Linked DNA regions of Drosophila melanogaster. The protein of the gene in region 2 interacts with the protein of the main gene of each other region in a pairwise test. Each region holds a gene or a part of one and is shown on either strand. Other genes may lie near its edges.

What was found. Proteins that work in one complex are often made in the same cells at the same time.
Region 1: the proteins of CG32354 (region 2) and pHCl-1 interact in a two-hybrid assay, tested with the Drosophila melanogaster proteins (one large-scale study listed by BioGRID).
Region 3: the proteins of CG32354 (region 2) and CG46298 interact in a two-hybrid assay, tested with the Drosophila melanogaster proteins (one large-scale study listed by BioGRID).

Annotation. Positions count from the first base shown.
Region 1 is NT_037436.4:15,894,755-15,902,088, reverse strand, and holds the start of pHCl-1 (pH-sensitive chloride channel 1), read left to right. Parts: upstream 1-3,168; 5' UTR 3,169-3,257; intron 3,258-7,334.
Region 2 is NT_037436.4:8,414,659-8,425,239, forward strand, and holds CG32354 (uncharacterized protein), read right to left. Parts: upstream 7,548-10,581; 5' UTR 6,409-7,547; coding exon 6,183-6,408; intron 3,202-6,182; coding exon 2,181-3,201; intron 2,125-2,180; coding exon 1,927-2,124; intron 1,866-1,926; coding exon 1,322-1,865; 3' UTR 1,199-1,321; downstream 1-1,198. Other genes in the region: Exo70 (exocyst 70), read left to right, coding at 1-417, 477-799, 869-1,002, 1,058-1,160.
Region 3 is NT_033778.4:10,349,979-10,356,055, reverse strand, and holds CG46298 (uncharacterized protein), read right to left. Parts: upstream 2,689-6,077; 5' UTR 2,541-2,688; coding exon 2,151-2,540; 3' UTR 2,020-2,150; exon of another isoform or gene 1,951-2,019; 3' UTR 1,667-1,950; downstream 1-1,666. Other genes in the region: CG43397 (uncharacterized protein), read left to right, coding at 384-506; CG12902 (uncharacterized protein), read left to right, coding at 824-1,018; CG43201 (uncharacterized protein), read left to right, coding at 3,050-3,121; CG43171 (uncharacterized protein), read left to right, coding at 3,229-3,300; CG43178 (uncharacterized protein), read left to right, coding at 3,458-3,523; CG43200 (uncharacterized protein), read left to right, coding at 3,925-3,990; CG43172 (uncharacterized protein), read left to right, coding at 4,198-4,263, 4,320-4,322; CG46305 (uncharacterized protein), read left to right, coding at 4,331-4,402.

The DNA of each region.
Region 1 (7,334 bases), 7.5 Mb from region 2:
CGCATGGCAACCCCACAAACAATCACATTGAATCCTTCCCTACCTTACTTTTGAGTGGTTTTCATAGTTTATAGATTCTTTTGTAACACACCCAAGCCAATCAGAGTTCTTTTTATAACGCATACGATGATTTGAAACTAAAAGACTTAAGATATCGACATAAAGCTAATGAAATCCAAACAAAAAACCGTCCATTTATCCACTTAAAGCTAAAAACAATGTAGAAGCACCTCAGCAATTTGTGGAATCTACTGGATAAGAATGTAAGGGAAAAACTGAATATTGTATGTAACGTGTAAAAGGATATAGATCTATACTGAAACTGTGTATGACAGCAATATCAAAATAGTCAGTTGGGGAGTATGAAGCGATACTAAAACGTGATTAGAACAAATATTTAACGACAAAATACGACAAGTTAATAAACGCTTAATGATAAACCGAGTTAAGGTCGCGTAAAACATAATAAATATTAAACATACCTATTTAAGAGTATTGAATCAGTCAGTACTTGAGAAAAAAAAAAACACACGAGAACGAACTCAAACAAGAATCATGCAATAATATTGAAATGAAATTACTTTCTAGCATTAACTACGATACATCAAATTATTTATCGCTCATCATATGGAAAATACTCAAGAAGAAACGCATTTAAGCTGAACATACATTCAAAATTAAGCTCACCGACTTGAAGAGATGGCATTCATATATTTATACATGCATATATCATATACACCTCGATCATATTGTATTCTGTATTTACTTTCATATACAAGAACAAAGTCCTACCAGCATACCCAACATATACGAAGTATACATCTATATGCCTCACCAGCATTCGTACATCCATATATATTTACATACAAGCGCATTTAATACAAGTTACATTTCATCACCACAATTGTACCATAAGAAATGTAAAGATCATATTTTTCACTCGAGATACTAAAACGTAATAACACTACACGTAAGCATTACTAAACGCTCTGCAAACTAAACTCCAATCGCGGCTACGAGGAAATGTATAATGATAATTGCTTTATAAGGACTCCAATCCAAACACCTAATACTCAATGCTGCATTATGCCACGCCTACCTTTTTACCTTAACTGACGCCTATACTAGATGATCAACCAAACTTTCGCGCTCTTCTCAAAAACATAATCACCACCAAACCCAACTAACTCATTTTAACTGCTTAGCACTGTGCAATGAGCAGCGAATATTTGCGCCGAGATAATTTTATATGCAACGTATACATATTTCTATCTATAGTATATATATACACCCCGATATATATATACATATACACGCATTATACACCAAGGCAAGCGCTTTACTTCAGATGCAAATGCAGTGCAATGGAGAATGTTTATTACTCATTACAAAATAAACGATTCGCATACTTATTAAAATACATTTAGAGGGTAATGTTGTGTATTGTACTACGCTTTTTACGTTGTTGTTTTTGTTTTCCCCTGCGTTTCAACATAATATTGTAATATTGTAATTAGTTCTGCAAGTGATTACGGCTAAGTTAAATACTGCATTGTGCGCTTTGTTTTGTATCTTCGGATATAAGTTGAATGATTGTATTTTGTAATTTAATTTTAAGCTTGAGGAATCGCGTCTGAGGTGGATGAATTGCAGCCAGGCCGAGATCGAACCATACAAGAGATAAATATTAGAACCAACAAGTGTAAGGGAAACAACAAAACCAAACAAACAAAACAAATAAAAATAAAAACCAAACAAAGTGGCATCTGTTATTAGGTTAAAAGAATTATTGATATTGTTTGCAAGAAAATGTGTGAAATATATATAAATACAAATAAAATACCACTTAGCATAAAAACAAACCGTGAACAGACAAGCAAACAACAACAGATTGTAATTGCAATTTAAAAATAAAATTAATATTTCAAATAATAACCAAGCCGTTTTAAATAAAATGCCAATGGGAAGTTCTATGTGGTGTATGGGGCGTATGCGTAATTTTATTAAAAGTCAGCTGTGTTTTATATAATTTAAATCGATTTCATTTACTTTAATTGTTAATTGAAGTAATTTTTTTTGTTGTGAAGTTAATTTTTATTATGCAAAAACAAACTTATTTTATATATTTGTTGCCTTTTTACAAGTTACTTAAATATTTTAATTAAAAATACATACATTCTATATCACAAAATATAAAAAATATCTTAAATAAACATCTCATCATTTTTGATTGCTAGAATGCACAACCATCCCACTGTGCGACGTGCATCCGCAAAGGATTACGTCACTTGCCGCCGCGTCTCCTTTTTTTTTTTTTTTTTTTTTTTTTTTTTTTTTTTTTTTTCCATATTACGATGATGTTTTTATTATTTGATCAACGCACTGTTACCCATGCGGCAACTTAATTTGATCTGCTTAAATTATTTTATTTTACAATGTGTCTTGGTTACTTAAGACTAACAGATTTTTAATCCTAAAAATGATAGGGAGAATTATAATAGTTGATATAACATAGTAATTATTATTTATTTGATTATTCTAATGAATTTTAAAACTAAGACTTTCTAGGTCAAAACCAGGTTAGGGAGGTCATGAGGGTGGTGTCGCTTGAGTCTTCTTTTGACTCTAGTCCGAGGGTCAGCATTGACCACAGCTGCAGTTCCTAGCTTCCTTGCTAGGCTGTTGGGGTGTACATTAAGCCTTTCCATATATTTTTGGGCGATGTTCTGGAGCTTGTCTCCTAATTTGGGCACCTTGAGGTCGCGTTCGATGTCTCTTGTTCTCATATACCAAGGAGCCCCCGAGCCGCCGCGTCTCCATCGACACGGAGACTGACCCTCGGGCATCAGCTGTTTTTACGGACGAAGGATGACGGGGAGCCATAGGGGGAGCAGCGGTGCCGAGGGGTCGAAATGCCGCATGCACTGGCGGCAATCAGCTGTGAAGCTTTGGGGCACTCGGAAAGCTGCCCAATTCAAGGAGCTTCGGAGAGAGCCGGCGGTGAGCTTTGGCTCCGAACGGGAAAATAGGAGGCGACATCGAAAAGCAAGCGGCGCACCAGAGACTTTTCGGTGTTCGCCGCGCTTCGTCATCCTGCTTTTCCGCTTTTCCGAATCGAGAATGCGTGCCAAACTGCATGAAAAGGAAAACTTGGTCAGTTGAGGTCTCAGTTCGGGTCGGGTTTGCAATTCAACAGCACTGCGGAAGCGGAGAAAACTCGTCACCAAAGCGGACGGGCCAAACAATAAGCCAGCGTAGTAATATCGACTTCACACCGCCCTCGATATATATATAATATATATATATATATATATGATATTCGCAAGAAAACGGTATCGGAATGATATCCAAAAGTGCCAACCCATTGAGGGCCTAATCCAATGTGTTGGAAAATGATTGAAAATCGCGTGGAAATTGCAATGTGCGAATTGAAATGTGTATTTGTGTTTTGAATTCTTAACGCTCAACCCAAGTGTTTCCATTTTTTGCAGTGAGTGAGTGAGCGAGTGAGTTATGTAAAGCTCTGGTGTTGGGTTCTTTTCGGTCTTCGCGTTGGGTGCGGGATAGTAACCCATACCACCGCCCGCAACAATAACAACAACAACAACAATTGTAGCAACTGCACCACCAGTAACAACAAGAACAACCACAGCGAGCGTGTGAAGCGACAATAAGTGTTGCAAGATTGAGTGGCTTCAAAAAAGTGGTCATTAAAAATTAAAGCTAGAGAATTAGGATGCAAAGAATTGGGATTTCAAAACTAGGATTGTACTGGCGGTGAAAATTAAGTATACGCACCCACGGACCACTGCTAATTTATGCATGAACTTGAAAACTGAACACTTTTAGTGCATTTTGGCGTGCTAAGCGATAATAAGTTTATGATGCACTAAAAAATATTTAAAACCGTTTGAAGGTCAAGGAATAAGAACCGAATATTAGATTTAATTACATTTTTCAAATAACTAAATTGTCGGTTCAAAAAACCTTAATTCGACAATTCAAATTCTTAACTTTACTTGGTTTTGTAATACAATTTATTTGAGGAAAATATTTCAAAGAAATTTTGAGTTTTAAATATAAAATATATAAGTAAAGCGGCTCAAAAGCATTTATTCGAGATATTAAGTATACGCACCAGAGACCACAGCTTGCAGCATATAGAAATTGTAATGGCAAAAAATATAGTAAATACTCAGAACACTTTTGTTTTAAATCATATAAATGTATTTTTCAAATTTTAAAATATATAAAATAAAATATATATCTAATATATATAAAACAAAAAAATTAAATATATAAAATATATTTTTACAAATCAAAGAAAGGGTTTCCTAGTATTAGCACATTACAAGACAATTATTTAAATTTGGAAAAAGTTTTCAGACACGCAGACCCGAGTTTAAGTTTAGGAAAGGCCGCCGCAGAGCTACACTATTTTATATAAAGCCCCAAGTTATCGCAGCTTACCCCGCGTGGGTAAATCAATCAAAAACCATTTGCAGTCGCTTCAATCCCCGGCAATCAGCCCATTGAGCAAGCTTTGTGTATCATAACACAATCAGTTTGGGTATCGGCATCAATTACCAATTATAACTTGACAATAAAATCGCCAAGTGTCCGCATAAAGAGCCCAAAAGACACTCACACACACACACACACTCAGCCGCCAATCAATTCGCTTTTAGCGGTCTCCGACTATTTTTAGTTGCACTTGCTTTCCTTTTTTCTGGTTTTTGTGTTTTTTTAAGTTTATTTTACTTTGCACAATATTAGTGTCAAGGTGCAGCCAGTGCATAGAGACAGAGATGGAAATAGACTCCGTGACAGAGACGGCGACAGTCGAGCCAAAAGAGCAAGTCAAGAAAGCGCAAAAGAAACCAAGAAAAGGGGCGAGAAAATGGGAACCCCTTTTCTTGGCGGCGGCGACGACATCGCGAGAAAGCAACACACGAAAAGGTGGCTATCAAAAAATAATAACAAATACAACCACACGATGGGGAGGGGTGTGGAGTGTAGGGGCGATGGCGGTGCATTTTGGGGGTGGCAAGTGGGCGAAAAAGGGGGGATCTCCTCACGACTTGTCACATCGAACAGAAAGAAATTGAATTTATGTCTTGGGTGGGTTGCCTTCAATGACAATAAGGCTGCTATAACCGCAGGTCTCTCTATATATGCCAACGCTAAGAGCACTGGTAACGGTATAGCTATAGCCAACAGCCAACAGCTAATGCCAACGTAACGGAACCGTGGCGCGTGTTTCGTTGGAAGGTAAATCGCGTTAGCAACAACAACAAGGATACGCAGGGCTCAGCTTTCAGGCTGCGACCCACATTACTTAAATTACGAACTACACGCAAAGTCGCCGAAAGCCCACACACAACTGGGAAAAGTCACACACGCTGGTTAGTCATTCCCTCAGTCAGTCAGCCAGGCAGTCAGTCCGTTCGTAAGTCAGTCAGTTCGTCACTACGTCCGTCATTCAGCCAGTCAGTCAATCATTAGCCAAAACGAGCCTTATGCGTCAGCCAGTATGTGACCTACACTCTAAGGATAATTTGGTATTTTCGAAATAACACAAGCTTTATTTAAAGCTTAAATCCTTTTCAGGCAAAGGGGACTAAGTAAAATTTATTTAAAGCGAAATAATTTAGAAAATCAATGAAGAAAAACTCGTCAGGCATAAGTAAAATTTTATTAGTGAATGAACGCATTTAAAAGTTAAAATAGCAGTGCACTGGAATATCATTAAATTACAGTATATAAACCAACAATTAAAACACAGTTTTCATTATCATTTACTTTAAAAACATTTATTTAATATTATATCTAGCTAAAAGAAAAGAAACTCCTTTAAAACGCTGGTCGATTTTGAAACTATGTTTTTTGAATAGTGAAATGTCCTCGTCCTTGCCACATTGCGTGCTCTTGGGTGGAGCCTCCGCCACAGAAGAAGAAAAGTGGATACGGAATGGAGGGAGGGATGGCGGGACGAGGAGACATGTTGCATATTTCGGGGCGTGTTGGCTGCCAGACAAAAATGTCGTTTTCGGCGAAATTCCCGGCATTCCAATGCTGTGTTAAGGACAGACATTGAAACAAAGGCATTTGTCTGACCGCCACCCTCACAGTAATGAGATGAAAAACACCGAAATATACTCAACATTTCTGTAGCGACGAGCGGGTGAATTTGTTTTAACAAAAAACACAATTAAATTAGGTATATTGCTTGCTAAATGCCCAACCATTACCCATACACATGGTATATTTTCTAGGTTTTGCTTTGGTCCGCTGCTTCGCATTTTTGCAGTTCTCTTTGCACTGCTTTGGTTTATTTTTAACATCTTTCCTCGGAGCGTGCGAAAAAATTTTCCCCTTTTATTACATTGTCTGCCGCAGATGATGCGAAATAAATGGATGATAAGGCCAAGACAGAGGTTATTTACGATCTCTTCGGTGCATGCAAATGGGATACCTATTTCCTTATGGCCATTTCGATAGTAAAATTCCAAAAACTGCATCATAAACGCTCCTATATATATTCGGATTGGCAAACATTTTGCCCTAATTACTTATAGGTGCAATGCCAATTCAGTCCACTGCCAAACGGGTTTTTTTTCTTGTAAATCATATTATTTAAGCGCAGTATTTTCACGCAAATACGCCTGGCAATAATATAGTGTATAAATAAATAAAAATAGTTCATTGAGGCAGAAGACAAACACGATTTTTACAGCCTGCGCTGTTTATTCGCATTCACATTCAAGGGGTATGTAAAATATATGTCAGTATAGGAAGTGCTAGAAATTATTTATTAATGAATCGCTGGGAACAGGCAAGTGTACAAATATAGGCTGTATGGACTGTTTAAGGTGGCTGAGTTGAATCCAAATGAATAATAGAATAATGATTTTGGTATGAGGAACTCGGGAAAATTGTTTTCTATAAATTCTAGAGAGTAGCTGATTTTAAAAGTAAGAGAGCCTATATTGAAAAATTATCTACTTATCTTTTTGTTAAGATATAGTTATTTTGAGTTTGATATCCTTAATTAAAATACAGTGCCAGTATATATAATTTTTATCAAGCCATCTCTTTGTTCAATTACCTGTCTTTTTTTATTTTTATTGTCAAACTCTTTATTAGTATTCTTATTTTGTTCGAGCAATGGTTTTACAATTTTGTTCTACTAGAGCAATTTATTTTTTTTACGCCAAGCTTCACAAATAAGCCAAATCCAAAGTAGAAATCAGATCTACGAACTTTCTGCCATTCTGCTCAGACTTTAGCTTACTTTAAAAACTTCAGCTACGCTCGACCTCTTCAACTCTACC
Region 2 (10,581 bases):
GCATTTCCCGCAAGGAGTGGACCTCGGCGTTGGGAATATTCTCCGCCCTAAAGCGGGTTATACTGCTGCAGCCGGATATTGACCGCACATACGATCCTGCGCAAAGGGAACAGTTGAAAAAAGTACTAAAAAAGTTGCAGCACACCGGTGCCAAGGCATTGGAGCATTTCCTGGACGTAGTCAAGGGCGAATCGAGCACCAATATTGTGGGCCAAAGCAATGTTCCAAAGGATGCCACCGTGCACGAGCTGACCTCCAATACGATCTGGTTTATTGAGCACTTGTACGATCATTTCGATGTTATTGGTTCCATTTTGGCACAGGATGTCCTGTACTCCACGCAATTGGACACCATTTTGATGAAGAAGGCGCTGCCAGTCGAGGAACGCAATAAGGCGCTCTTGGCGATTTACATAAGTGAGTGGCAACAAGATCAATTGTGCGAACATTTTTAAACCACTATCTATATTTTGCAGAGAAAGCTTTGGCCGAACTGAATCTTTCCATAATGAACAAGTGCGAGCAGTACAATGACCAGGCCACCAAGCACCTCTTCCGACTAAATAACATTCACTATATCCTCAAGTCGCTGCAACGCTCCAATCTTATTGATTTGGTCACCTTGGCTGAGCCTGAGTGCGAACATAGCTACATGGAGATGATACGTGAACTGAAGGCTAGCTATCAAAAGACCTGGTCCAAGATGCTGGTCGGCATCTATTCCTTGGATGAACTGCCCAAACCAGTGGCCGGCAAGGTCAAGGATAAGGATCGCAGTGTGCTCAAAGAGAGATTTTCTGTAGGTTTTTATTTTTAAAATAAGCTAAACTTTCTTGATTTAAAAAAAAACATCCTCTATAATTTCCAGAACTTCAATAAGGACTTTGAGGAGGCATGCAAAATCCAGCGGGGCATCTCCATACCCGATGTGATCCTGCGAGAAGGCATCAAACGTGATAATGTGGAGCACATACTGCCCATCTACAATAGATTCTACGAAATGTAAGCGTATATAGGGTTTATCAGCTTATACCTAACCATCTTGTATCATTTTTAGTTACTCTGGAGTGCATTTTAGTAAGAATCCCGACAAATACGTCAAGTACAGACAGCACGAGATCAACGCTATGCTGAGCAAGCTCTTTGATGATTCGGCTTAGATGTTAAATGCAGGCCAGGCTTTAAGTGCATTCCTTGTAAGTTCGTTGGGGGGCTTTAATTCAAACTCAATAAATATCGTTTTAAAAAAAGTACAATACAAGACTATAGCCTACAAATATTAAATGCCAAGTGAAATGAAGACGCCACGCATACATACGTCCTAGTAAAGGAAGTTAGTGGATGGTGCTTCGGGGCGGCCACAGGCGCCGTAGTAGTTGACGTTCACCGTCTGGTTCGCCCTGCAGTTTTCGATCTCCAGGAAGCAGTCGTTCAGATACGTTTTATTGTCGCTGCCGCAAACAGGCTCGAATTCCCTGGGACAGATGCGGGCACATCCTTTAAGCTGAAAGGCGGCAAGGCAGCGCTTCAGTGGCACCACGAAAACATGCTTGCCACAATTCTCCTTGCGCATGTGGCACTCGGACTTGTACAAGTTGTTGTCCGATCCGCAGACGAAACTTGGCGGCTGGGCATCACAATCCGATTCGCAGTCGGCGGTTAAAGCGCAATTCTTTAGCGAAACGGGCACCACACGCAGATCGCAAGTGCGCCGCTTGAACTCGCACATGGAGGCGAAGGTGTTGCCATCCGAGCCGCACACTGGCTGCTGTTCCAGATCCGCCCGAGTACAGGCATCCCCGCAATCCTTGGTGGGCGAATTGAGATCCGTGCAGGGACCAATGTGGGCCAGATTCACGCCGCGTCTGAAAAGAAGTTGAAGAGCTAGATCCATGTCCTATGGATGATCCTATCATGGATACTCACAGGCAGGTGGCGTGGGCCAGTTCGCACTCATTGTTATAAGTCTTGGCGTCCGTGCCGCAGAGCTTGTCATTTCGCTTCGAGCTGAAGATGGAACCGAACAAGCTATTGAAGTCCTTGCAAGGAGGCAGCTGTTTGCAGCGGGTCAGTCGATTCTTGCACTTGTCCATGCTCACTTTTTGAATGGACTTGCGCTGTGGACTGAAAGATAAAATTTTAGTCTGGTTATATTCCATTTTTATCTCATCCAAACTCACCCGCAATTGAGCATTTTGAGTTCACACAGCGAAGAGTATATGTTGCCATCACTGCCGCACACGTACTGCGACGAGGAATCCGTATCCGATTTGGGACACTCCGTGGGACAGGCATCGGAGGCTCCGTGCCTCTCCTGCGACATGCAGTAGGATAAGGGAACCTCAAAGACGTGCTTGCCGCAATTGGAAGAGCGCATCTTGCACGGACTGGCATACAGTCTGCCATCTGATCCGCAAGTGGGCCTCGCCACACGCCAGCAGGATTCCCTGCACATTCGTGTGGACTGACAGTGCTTCCGGCTGGTTTTCACCACACCCTGTCCACACGTCTTCAGCTTCATCTCGCACGTGGAGTTGTATACATTGCCATCCGATGAGCAAACTGGTCCATCCTTCGGCGCACTGTTGCAGTCAACCGGACAGGACTCACGCACGGCACTCGTGTTGCTGCAGGGACCCACATGCGATAGCTTCACTGCAGCCAATCCCACGCGACACGATTGCACCCTCAGCATGCAGCGATTCAGATAGGTCCTTCCGTCTGTACCACACACTGGATCCTTCTCCGTGCTGCAGCGGTGCTTGCAGTCCGAACCCTTCGACCTCTCGCAGCCATCCCGCACGTCCTTGATCAGCGACACTCCACTGCGGGAGCAAGTCTTCTTGCGCAGCTCGCAGATATTCGCATAGATCAGACCATCGCTGCCGCACACGGGCTCAGCTCCCACGGTGATGCTCGGTGGACAGGATCGAGGACAGTTGCCGGTGCCGGTGTTACTAGCCCTATTCCGTCTGCCCATCTGTGACAGCTGCTGTTGCTCCGTCTCCTCGCGCAGCAGCGACTCCAAGGCAGCTGCCGCCGCTCCGGGTGCCTGCATCAATGTGGACGACAGCTCCGGTCGCGCATCCTGACGATAGTTGATCAGCAATGAGTTGGGCGCCGCATCTGCACTGCGATAGCGGATAACTGGCGCCTGCGCCGGCAGCCGGATAATCTTGATGGGTGAGTCTGTCACAGCGCCTGTGGATGGAAATGATTTTAGAATTTAATTGGTTTCTATCTAGAAACTTAATTCTAAACATTTAAAGCAAGACAGTAGTTCCTCCTCCTCTGTTATATGAACTTATTAAACAAAGCTTAGTAATAATTACTACTTCCCCGCACGTAATGACCGGTTGTCCATCGAATTTTCCCAGGGTAACTCTGTTTCGAGACCGCCAAATGAAACTTTCCCTTCGCATTTTCCACAGCTCTTTAGCGGTGGCATGCGGAAGAGTCAACTGTGGGCATACAAATGTCAGATTAGCCGCACGATCATAGGGCATTTTGCGCAGTTGTGACCCACTGTGTCCATGCCGCCACCCGCCGACACTCCCCCGCATCCGAGACCAGTCTCTGATTCTGGAGTGATCGCATGACCGACTCAAGTAACCAGCCATTAACTTGAATAATTCTTTCCCTTTTTACTAACGGCAACGGCAAATGTTACCCGTCTTCAAATCTCGATTCCAAGTAAAACGACACAATGGCATTTATGTTTTGGCTGTGGTTTGAGCACAGCTAATACACTCGCTTCGTTCATACGGACTATCAGCGACCTCCATCTATAATTGTTCATGCTAATCCCCTCCAGAAATCGTAAGCTTAATCTGTGCTAAAAACTGCAAGTGAAATTTCCACACTAATTGCCTCCGGCGCCGAACATTTCTGTTGTCTTTGGTCGGATGTGGAACTGCTGGTTTAGTTTGGGTTGATTTGTCCATTTTTCTTATTTTTTTTTTTTTTTTTGTTTGCAAAGAAAGCTGTGAGAGCCGCCTCCGGAGGAAGCACTCAACTTAGTTAAAGATATACGAACGTAAATAGACATACCCAACAGCAGTAGAAAATCTATTAGCGCTCTTTGAGGCTGCCACACGATGGTTTGGCTGCGATAATTGAACCCACGTTCATTATTCCAATTTGCTGCTGCCGGCCATAAAGATGGAAATTTCAACATCCAGCCAGCCAGCCAGTCAGTCAGTCGAGCAGACGCATTCTCAGCTTAATGGACTCGGATGCTTCTCTGGCTGGATGCGAGTCCGAATCTGAATCGGAGGCATCGGCATCCAGAGGAGCCATTAAGCGCGGAGAAAATTAAGCGGCGTTAGGAATTAATGCACATGTAAACGATCCGCTGGAATGGTCAGAGGCAAAAGCCGAGACCACAGCCAATCTCATTCAGCATTGCAGCAATGCGACCTCAACCGCCCCACCCACTCTCACCAATCCTGCACTGGCAGAAAAGTGTGGTACTAGTCCTGGGATAAACTCAGAATCAAATCACTCATGCAAACTAATGGTACAAACTTATACAACACCATACACCATACTATTTTGCATTTTAAATACACCTCTGATTTACTGATTTCCTTTTGTTCATATGTTCTGCTGATTTCTCCCAGTGCAGGTGCATTTTCCTGGCCTCCAGCGAATTGCTGGCAGGCTCCTGCCTATCGGATGCCATCAATTGCAAAAAAAAAAGGCGAGAGAAATAATAAAAGCAGCCACCGTATAATTTTCAAAAGTGGAAAAATCCAGCAACCAACGCACTGCACTGCTGGGCAGGGACTTTTGCATGATATATACTGGGTATGTACATATATATATGTACATATGTACATACATATCTATATATGCACATGGAGCACACCATGTGCACTCGGTTTGCTCCGGTTTGGTGTGGCACAGTGGCGAGCAGCGACATGACCAAGCCCATAGATGAATGAATCACGGCGCCACTGATTGGGGCCATTAAAACATATATGTACATATGTACATATATATGTGTATATGCATGCGAGCATATATCACAGCATCCAAAACTAATTGATCTTTCACCCATCAATCTCCGATGAAGTGCGGTTATCAATTAGCCAAACGATCGCGCTTACAAGTCAAATAAATCATTTCGCTTCGGGTCAACTTTAAACGATGTAACCCCCCCAATTGACCCCCAACCCTTTCCAGCTCGCTGCCACTGTGCGGTCAGCTTGATTTTCCCCCCCCCCCATGAGCTAGCGATTCGCCCCTCTTCCACCAGCCCCCCCCCCCCCCTACGTTTTCAGGCCCCCGGCTTCTGTTTGGCCCCTTCGTGCTTTTAATGAATTTATACGAATGTTGGACAAATTGTGCACGAAAATATTTACGAGCATGTTGTGCGTCGAGGAGTGAGTGCCTCAAACTGGGGAGTTCGTGGTCTAGGGGGCGGTGGGGGGAGAGGTGTTGGGGCATTGGAAGCTTCGCGCTCGTGTATGTGTGCCAGTTTACATTCACTTTGTGCGGAGTAGTACCTTAGAAATGGATAGTTGAATAGCTGCTGCGACGGCCTTTCTACCACCGCACAGCTGTAGGTCTTAGATCCGGACCCCGATTCACCTTCTCCGTTTCAACACCCGGAGAAATTAGGCGGTAATTGAGACGGCACTCACTGGGACTTGTCCAGTCTGTCTGCAACTTTCATTTAGCTCAAGATCAGTTGCCGTTTTCCGCTGAAGAACTCGGGTTTCCCTAGAACTCTGTCCGCAGTTTTAACTGCAACTCAATAACGATGTGATAGTTAGGAGAAAGTACATTTAGCAAGAGGAAAACTAATACCCTTTGAAACTTGTATTAGGCCCTTTTAAATGTAATGTTAACTAATCTGGATTTAAATAGAGCATTCTTTACTTTAGCAATGGCTTAAGAGTTCCATAGTCAGTTTTCTCTTTTATGATTATATTGGACTTAATGCTCTGCTTAAGGAACCTAGTTTTATCTTAATCTGATTTTAATTTAGTTAGGAGGAACTTTGCTGAATCTGAATCAACGTATACTTCTTTAGCTGATTCATTTCTTGAGGCAATTAAACAATTTGAATAGTGAGAATGCCAGGAAAGAGATTCGAATGATCTAAGACTACTTCCTGTGACTTTCTACTCAACGTGTAGCACCAATTTTGGGATTTCTCGCAGTGTACGACTTACCACTGGTGGTTGACGCAAATGCCGCCAACGTGAACATGGCCAAGAGTGCGCCAAACAGCTGTCGCTGGCTCTTGGTGCCGCCAAAGCTGAGGCCCAGACTGGGGCTGTGGTTATGGCTGCATCTGGCGATCTGGCTTGGAGTCTGGCCAAGTCCGTGGGCCTGTGTTTGGGTGGCGTTTGGGGCGGGGGGCTGCAGATGCAGATGCAGATGCTGTTTGTGGTGCATTTTCGCTGGCTGTCTGCTGCACTTTTCCTATTAGACGCTTGATGATTTGTTGTTGCCGCTCGGATCGGATGCGTGCGTGATGTGAGACTGAGGCGTGCGGCGCTTTCGCTCGTTAACAATTGAAATTGAAATAGTAGCAAACTTTTATGCGGCTGCGGCTCACGGTGGATGAAAGTTTTTTTTTCTCTTCCTCGGTCGATCTACCAGGGAGATAGAGATATAGTGGTGCTATATAGTATATGGACTATATAACTGCTCGTAATGGCGCTTAAGCTGTTCGAATTAACGGTAATCTTGCGGTCATTTGGGCCTGGCCTGCTCTTCTTCTTCTTCTTCCTGCTCTTCTTGTTAACCGATGTCGTTGTGTTGCCTTCTCTCTCTCTCTCTTTAGCGCCCTTTTACGAGTTCATTCGTTTGCCTATCAACATCAAGCTCCCGTGTCTTACGCTGTCTTCTGTCTCTTTCGCTTTTCCCTTTGCCTGCCGGGCACTTGACCTTTTCACACAATCGCACAATGGAGCATAATTTCTTTTTTATCGCCTTGGCTTTATGGCTTTTTCTTGATGTTTTGTGGATTTTTGCACGGCCCGCCTTTAATTTGATTTCAATTACTGGTTCTGGTAAGGCTTTATTTTCCTTTTATTTGCTTTTTATAACGTTTTTCTTTTTTTTTTCGTTTCTATTATGCGCACAAAACAATTCGCTTTTGTCCGTTACTCTTTTGTCGTTTGAATTTGACTTTGATGCGCGCTCTTCGAGTTTCGATTCGCATATGAAAAATGATCTGTCTTTCGGATTTCGATGCTGCTGCTACTGTTCTGCCTCGGCCGATGCCTCCGCTGACGCCTACTGCGACGCCGACTGCGACTGCAACTGCGGCGATTGCATTTCGTATTTCATTTCTTCTTTTTTATTGTTCTCGAATGAATGAATGAATGAATGGGCACTAACACACTCGCGCTCGCATCCGATTTGTACAATTCGTATTGTCGTCTTTGCCTCTGTTTCTTTTTTCGCCTTTTTAACTTTTTTCTTAGGCCTTTGTTTAGTGCGCTCTAGAGTCGCTCTGAAATCTCGGAAAGCTTGGGCTCCAAATGCGACTGGAAGGTTTGACAATGCGCCGACGAATGGCAAAAAATTTGCAATGAAAAGAAATTTATATGGGTGAAAGGCAGCGCAGTCGGCGACGGCAGAGCAGAGCATCCAGCGCTGTTGTTGTTGCAGCTACACTCGAAACAATTCACTCATCTTTTGAATACTAAATCAAGAGTATTTCCAGTTAGGACAAAAAGCACCGCTTTCTTTAAGTTTTTAAAGTTGAAAAACAATGAAAAAATAAAAATATATATGAATAATAATAAAAAAGTTATAATGTACAATAACAGCAATGGTGGATTGTAAAAGGATACAATTCAAAGATATGCATGTCTGTGCAGTTTCAAACTTTCAAAATGTAACATATATTGAGAGCAGTAAAGAGAGCAAGTAAATTTAAGTTAAAAATGTAGTCTAGTCTTGATCTTTTTGAATAGACCTATATTTCTTTTTAAACTTTAACGGTTTACTACCACAAGTTTTTCGAGTGCATTGTTGGGTGCCGGGGCATATTGATTAAATGGAGTTGTTGGTATTTAAAATAACAACTTGGTCATGTCTGCCTGGCCTAATCGGTTTTGCGTACAAATTTAATTTGCCAAAAGTGGCAGCAAAATGCAGCCAAAAAGGCGCGCCGCATTTGAAATTATAACTCACACACTCGATTCGATTCGATACGATACGATTCGATCGGATCAGATGCATCCACATCCACGTCCGTGCTCCCCCAACATCTCCGATGCCCAAACCCAAGCCATACCATCCCACATCCAATATACAATATTCACGATCCGAGTCCACGATTCAGTTGCAGTGGCATTGGCATTGGCAGTTGCAGTTGCAGTAGAAAGTGCAGCCTGGAAGCTGTGTTTATAGACTTGTAGACTTTAAAGCCATAAATTTTACGCCTCAGCGGCCGTTGCGAATAAGGGTCACACACACATAGCCTACTATCACCTTGCACAGTGTCCTGATGCCAATTTAAGGTGCATGTTTACTAATGCATTCACACAAAAATATTTGATTTTGGCATAGTTTAGCTATTAGAGCTTAGACCTTATCTAATTGTCTTAGGTATTATATATTTGATATAATAATATTTTAGTTAAGTAATTCTAGCTTATGTTAAAAGGAATACAAAGTAATGCTACCCAAATAAATAACTTGCTAGTAACATAAAAAATGAAGTTATATTTTAAACTATAAATAGTAAGTAAATAAATGTTCTTAAGCAAAACATAATCCTTAATCTTTCATGGTTCGGGACATATGAGCTTTAAGTTAATATTCAATCTTTTTAAGAATTTTAATGTTGCTTTTTTTTCTTACGAGTACTTTCCCTTAAAACTTTGTGCAATAAATCATCATTTTTGGGAAATGCGTTGTGGGTGCTTAAATTCCACATGTTTTGGAACCACTGTGCGCTGGCGGTGGGTGGAGGAAGGTGAAGAAGCAGATCATTGGCGGCGGAGTCGCGTGCATTAAAGAAAATTGAGTGGAGGTGGAGGTGGAAGTGGCCGTCGCATGGGAAAAGAGGTCAGTAAGTGAATGTTTACAGTTAGCTTTTTGGGCAGATCAGAGAGAGCCAGGTCCAAAACAAAACCAAACAAAACAAAACAAAACATAATGCCGAGCCGATCTCAGCTCGACGGAAAAAGCCAAACTGCATATGACAGGCGTGACTCGGCTTTAAGCGCCAGTGCCCAGAACTAATACCCCAAACACGACGAGCTGCAGATCCCATAGAAATGAGGGGGACAAACCGCAGGAAAAGACCGCCAAAAAAAAAAAAAATAAATAAGAAACTGAAAACAGAAGAGCAAAATTTAATTAAAAGAAAGCCAGGCTGGCGCGGAGACGTAAAAACCTTTTGGCAGCCGTGCAGTTTCTTTTTTGGCCAAATATTTGACGGCGCTCGCCTGCGGTTGCCAATAAAAATGGAAAGTGAAAATTGCGGCTGCAGTGGCAGTGCATATTAAAAAATAGAAAGATAGAAACAGCCGTTTGTGTGCGAAAAGATGGCCATAATAAACGATAGAAGGCCAAAGCCACGCACCAGTTCTGCGGGTTTTCTTTCCATCTAATCACTGTTTTTTTTTTTTTCCCGATCGCCAACCAAAACCAGTGCGAGTATTATATAAATAATGCCCGGCATGCTGGATCGGCCGATAAACGGCGGAAATTATATGGCAAGGGGAGAGTTCGCGCCTCTGCAGGAAAAATACGTACATACAAAGTATATCCTCAAAAGGAAAGAAATACTTTGTATGGCGCATCAATTTCCAACACAAGTCGCATTTAAGGCGATAGTTGATCGATCATCTAAGACTTAAAATTAAGTTGATGTATATGATACAAGAAATAGTGCCTTCCTATGTATTGTACTATATTTAATTTATAAAACGTGAGATTCCACATATTTTCATGAAAGGTTTCCTACAAAAAGTAGATTAAAAGCATTTCCTATATATATTTAACACAATTTCATTAAACAAGCAGCAACTTCCATTGTGTAATAACAATTTAAAATACTTCCTTTCGAGGAGGAAAACTGTGAAAAAGAAAATCGTTACCAATAGATTATATTCTGTAAGTCTATTATTTCTAAACATATTCCCAAAATGAATATTCAAATTATTTTAAAAATTAGTTTATTTAATTTAATAAATTTGTAACGAATTTTTTCAAAAGCTCGCCATTTTGTAACGGCATTTTACATGGGTCAACGATGACGTCACAGCGAAATGCAACCCTTCGATCAGTGTGACCAGCCGTGCGAGCTCGTTTGGTATTTACTGGCGTTGCGGCCGCGGTCATACCGAGATTTCATTGAAAAAGTCGAAAATATTGTGTGGGTTTAAAAAACGCAAACGTCGCCGAAACGCGTAGCCCCAAATGCACACGCCAGGTGCAAGGATAAAGCCGTGAGGATCGGGCACCCAATCGGATAGATCGCGTTTGGTTAGCTTGTGGGGGAAAATCGTACTTAAGTCACCACTACTACTACACACGGGCACCACCAGCAACACCAACAACAACAACAACGAGAACAGCACCAGCAACAACAACAACAGCAGC
Region 3 (6,077 bases), on a different chromosome or scaffold from region 2:
ACAGTGCTGCATGCGACAAAAGTACGCAGCGATTTCAATAAAAGTTGCTCACCGAGGTGGTGTAATGGTACTCTAATTTCGCATTTTCACAGCCCAGGGACACACGTAATCCCACCTAATTAAATTGTCCTTTGAAATCGTTCGGTTAATTAAGTGCGCGCCAACCCCAATAATTTATATTGTGTAGAAAGTGCTTCAAAGCAGGCTGTGAGATTTGGGTTAATGGGCTTTGAAACTTCGTGCCGACACTTTTCAGTTATCCGTTTTGGCCACAGCAGCAAACTTCCATGAATCTGGAAAAATTCAAAATTGTTGAAATTTAAAAAATCATTTGTTGTTCTGAGGACACCGACGTCTTCCTTTGGTTATCATCTAGCAACACCATGCATTTGATGTGCGAGCGATTGTCTGCGGTTTTTGCGGGCGTCCTAGTGGGTTTGTGGTACGGTAAGACCTTTTCCGAGGACGAAAAGCCCAAGGAGAAGGGCAAGGACAAGAAGAAGTAGACCGACCGATCACTCGCAAGACTGGCAGAAATCAATACGATCTTCTTAGGTGCGTATCTATTGTGCGAAAATGAGCCATAAGCCGCAAGATTATGTCTTTGATCTAGTAGTCGAGTCGGCAAACTTCGAGCCACTTCAACGTCCTGTCAACGCGGCAGCTCTGACATAGCTCAGTGTTTATTTGGCTTTACAATCAGTATATCAGACTTTCGACGTACACAAAATTTATAACGTGTTTGGTTTTAATTTAACATCCATCAGACAGCGATTCCAGTTTTGGTCTAAATTGTGGCAAATCCTGTCGAGCTTTTGCAGCCATGCCCTGTTGTAAGCGTACCGAGGTCCGCAGGGTGTGCCGGCCGATGCCGTCGCTCCTTGCCAGGCTCAACTGTACGCCGTGCAACCGCGTCCTGTTCTTCGTCATCGGGGTGGGACTGGGCGTGCTCTTCGTGCGCAACAAGGACGACAAGTCGGGCGGCAAAAAGAAGGACGAAGGCAAGGCCAAGAAGTAGGACTGACCGATCTGCCATGCCCGGCGGTAATATCAATCATCCAAGCCTGGCACTAGCTAATTGAACCTGGACTCATCATCACCCATGAAGTTACCCAACCGTTTGCAGCGTTAGCCAGGGAAGACAAAATGCCATTCGATAAGTTTGTCCGCCGATGAATGGAATGGAGAGGAAATTTCTCAGTCGATAAATTTATCTAAAGAGCAATTTGTCAATCGAACAATTAACTGCCACATTTAATACAGGTTTATTCGATTGATCTATTCTCTATTATATATTCCTCTGTTGAAAATGCTATAAAATTGGTGCTGTACAAGACTTACTGTGTTTTTAATATGGGCTCATTATTCAAATCTGTGGGAGCAATTGTTCGCTAAATGTTTGTAAATAGTACTTTAGTGACATGATTTGATTATTTCATTAATCGTCCTGTAACAAAATTTGCAGAGCACCTGATCGACTTCCTTATTGATCTTGATCAAGAAACGCGTTCTAATTCTTTTTCTTTTAAACGAAACTACGAGTAACGAGTTATGAAAATGAACATCGAATTTACCGATAACTAAGTGCCTATTACAATTAAAAATTGCAATCTTATGCTTTGTATAATAATTAAAGTCTGATTGACCAACCACAAATATTCTCAAATTTTTGTTGAATAACTTTAGATAAATTTACTAATTTTGGGTCCTTGCAGAGGGCAATACATTTGGTGTGTATTCATTGTACAATTTTTAATAGAATATCAACGTATTAGAAAGCCTTAGCGGTAAGAACATAGATCATGATCATATCTCAAAATCATCACGAACCCAAAATGTAAATTTCAATTTTCGGGTGATGTATAATTTTAAGCCTGATATGGTTATCCAAATTTCGCAAAGGCATTTCCTCTCTCCAGTTAAATATCCCATCCGATCTTGTTACTTGATCTGGAATTATAAGGGTGGACACTAGATAGTAAATAAAGAAGCCTTCCATCAACGCGGCAATGGACTGACCAATAGTTATCGTTAGGTATGCCATATAATGCACTTGAAAATTTTGAAGTTTAGAAACGATATGGATTCGATGAGAATTTTGGGGGAAAACATCCTGCTCCTTGACATGTCCGTTTGGGGGTCTATAGTCGTTACTTGCCCTCCTTGCCCTTCTCTTTGCCCTTGGCCTCCTTCTCCTTCTTTTCCTTCTCCTTCTTTTCCTTCTCCTTCTTCTCCCTCTCCTTCTTCTCCTTCTCCGCCTTCTCCTTTTCGGCCTTCTCTTTTTCCTTCTGCTTCTTCTCGCGCTCCTTGGCCTCCTTCTCCTTCTCCTTGGGCGATTTCGCGGCCTCCTCGGCCGCCTTCTGGGCCTCCTTCTTCATATGGTCCCAGAATAATCCGATGCCCGCCCCGATCATGAAGAACACAAAACGGTTGCACGGAACGCAGTTCAATTTCTGCCACAAGGTGGGCGGCGGGCGACAGGGAGGCGGTGGCGGAGGACAGCATCGCGGAGGCGGGGGGCAGGCGGGCTTGTCGCACATCTTCAAAGGATTATGGATTAGATGTCCGCGCAATCACAGGGTCCCTCTAATAACGTGTTAATTTTACGCCAAAAAAAAAATCAGAAAAATGATGTTAGCCGAATGGGAAATTTAGAACAGTGGGGCCTGTGTTGCCTTTGGATGTGAGTTAAGTATTTGACGTTTATTTCGTAAACTACTTGATAAAACCTAACACTCATTATGCCTAAGGTTTAAGATTACACCAGTACTTTCTTCGACCGCAATCCTTTCAAAATGGATCCTTCTTTAAGCATCCTATCTTCTTCTTTATAATGTCTAGGCTAAAGTCACAATCCTTTTTTCTAATACATCTGAAAAACAAAGCCAAAAACAAAACGTTATGTAAAATGCATTTTTCTAAAATTAAAATCAAACTCCTTAGTCTCTATTTCATTGATAGTATTGTCGCTTTAAAGTGCAAAATTCTAAATTAACAATTTTTTCAAAAAGACCTAACAAAAAGTACTGATACTTTAGGGCTGAAAATTATGGATAACTCGTGGTTCATCACTTTTATTGTAGGCTGTATTGTGGGGTATTTGATAGGCAAGCATAATTAGAAAAAGGTAAGAGCTCCTTTGCATTTGTGGTAGGCTTTTTCAAACCACTCAATTTTAGTTTATTTTAGGCTTTACAAGTTCCAAACCCACTACTTTCGTTTTATAAAATGGATGTAGATTGGGTAATTACATTTCTAGCTGGCTGTTTGGTGGGATACGTCGTGGCCAAGAATACCTGAGGATAGGCAAGAAATCTTTGGGTAAAGTTCGCCTGAAATCTTATGCCATCCTGAAATTCAAAATCCCGACTGGACTGGATTTTGATTGGGAAGATAACATTTGGTATCAAGCGCTTGAAATCATTTTCTTACTTTCGAAACCTAAGAAAAAATCAAAATGACGCACGTTATATCCTTCGCCTTGGGCGTGATTATCGGAATGATGAGCTGCCGAAAGTGCTAAGCCTAAGCTCCCAAAAAGAAAATTATAACTTAAATCAATTATGAGGAACATTGCATATATTAAAATGAACAATAAATAAAATTTAAACTTTCGTATTCATTATATTTTTGGAGAATTGCTTGAGAATGGAAGATTTGCAAGCAGTACAGCTAGTGATGTAGCATGCAGCAAGCTCAGTGCCATAGCAGGCAGAAAAGGGACTGGAAATTGGGATTGATTTTCTCAATGACCATTAAGTTAATCAATAAGGTAATCAATATTTTCGTAAGCATTGCTAAACATGAATACTTATTCATTACCGTATCAAATAAGTTGGCTTTTCTAGTAAAGTCAGCTCATAACGTATTCGTTTTGAACTATTTAGGTCGCTCGAACACCTAAAATTAAAGTTATCGGCGGAAATGGAATGGATTCTAATCTTTATTATTGGCTGCGTTGTGGGTTATCTTATATCGCAGAATACATAGGAGCCGCTTTAGAAAATTCTTTCAGCAAAATTATGAAGGTAAATTACAATAGAATCAAGTACGCTTGGTTTTTTCCATTATAATAATGTGCTTCAAATTAAAGTAATCAGTTTCCCATCGACAGTCAGAACGAAGTGTACGTTTTGTATGCTCTTAAATAAGACAAATTTTCCGTTAATATCTCGGGAATTCAAGTTTCATTAAAATATGCAGCGGTTTATAACATTCGTTGTTGGTGGCATCGTTGGTTTCCTCATCGCCAAGAATACCCGCGTAAGTCTCTGTAAATTCCATTCGTTATCTTGTGATATTCAAATTCCCTTCCTTAGTAAACACAATCATGTCCTATGTAATATGCTTTGGGATGGGCATGGTTTTTGGCATGTTCGTATGCCGCCGTTGTGAACCCTGAATAGGAGGAACCCACGGATAAATTAAGACCTTTTATCGAAAACCAGATGTCCCGAGAACTATATTTAAAATGAATTTGGAATAAAGAAATTTGTCACAATCATACTGTATTGTTGTTTACTAAGCCTAATTGCTGTTTCTTTTCTCTGTTCCAGGTAATTAACCCTTAGACAAAAAACATTTTATATTGATTCGTAAGTAAACCTTAGGAAATAAACTATGCGGGTTAGCTTGACTGTTCCCAATATAACAAATTTACGGATAAAATCCTTTTCACAGTTTTCAGTAGATAGTCGCTGGGGATTTAAGCCAAGTTGAACGCATTTATGACTTTGTGAAAATTTTTCCCACCTTTCCTTTTAATGGCTGAAAAAACAAAAGGCAGCGGCAATAAATACATACGTCAGGATCTGAGTTGGGTAAAACTTTGCCAACTTAAAGGAAAGGAGAAAACTTTCCACTTCCTCAATCTTTTGGGGCCACGAAGGTGAGAGTTAGAGCAAACTTTAAGGGCAACCAATTTGACATTTTGTGTGGTGGCGGGGGGCTTGGTATCCCATTGACCACCTCCACCTGGCCATTCATTATGATTGATTATTGCGCAAATCCAGGGTTATACATATGTATATGTGTTCTGCGTCGTCAGCCGCACAAAACGTTTAACAAATGAGAAGACAGACGACCTCCTGACACACAAATGAACTCGTTCGCCATTTCAATCAGTCTTTGGGCCCCCAGATCGAGCCGCAGCATCCGCATAAATAAATATTTTATGAACTCGGCACCAGCACTCCAGATCCATTTCCAGTACGGTTAGGCTCGAGTGCGTCGCTCTGCATAACTTAGGCCGGGATGTTTGTGGCAAGTCTTATCTGGGTAGCAAACAAAGGTTGAACTCAGCCCGGTCCCCTTTTCCCACGATTTCCCCCCGGTTTTTCATCTGCGGTTAGGTAATTGGTTAAGGTGGCGCTCACAAGATTGACTCGCCTACCAAATGAAACGCTTGCCTTCCAGAATGATTGATGTCCGTGCCAGGTTGTGGGTGCCCTGCCCCTACCACTCACAGGTTAAATTGCTTAACCGTGCGGCTCGGGACTTGGATTTATAAGCCAGCCCAACAGGTAAGCTGCTCATGGGAATCTCATAGGGAAAGGCATCCTATGTCACATTCACTGATTGGTTCGCTCCTATATTTGTTACCCTTTCCTTGTACATTTTCCTAGCATTCCTAATGCTAATTTGTCAATAAAAAGTTTTAATTGAATTTTTGGTTCACATGTCGGCACTAATTTATGCAGTTTTCCTGGCTAACAGAGCGATTTAGAATTTCGATTGAGCAGTTCTAAGCTAAGCTACTGTTAATACAAAAGCTTTCGCCTTAAACGCTTTCCCCGTTCTCTTCAAGCTTTGCCTTGCTCTCAACTTGTACGAAAATTTCTCTCTCATTTGGGAAAACGTAAACAATAACGGTTGCCGGCATCACAGCTGTTTGGCGCCCTCTCCAACCCACCACTGTGGTGAGTTCCCGCATTTCCGTTTCGCTTTCCGAGCCTGCGCCACTTCCTTTCGCCGAGCAAGGTCCTCGGCAGGACTTCAGTCCTTATCACAGCGCCGAGGCGAGCGTATCTAAAACAGCCGTTCTAGCACTTCAACCGCGAGATATTTTCAAAACTAAA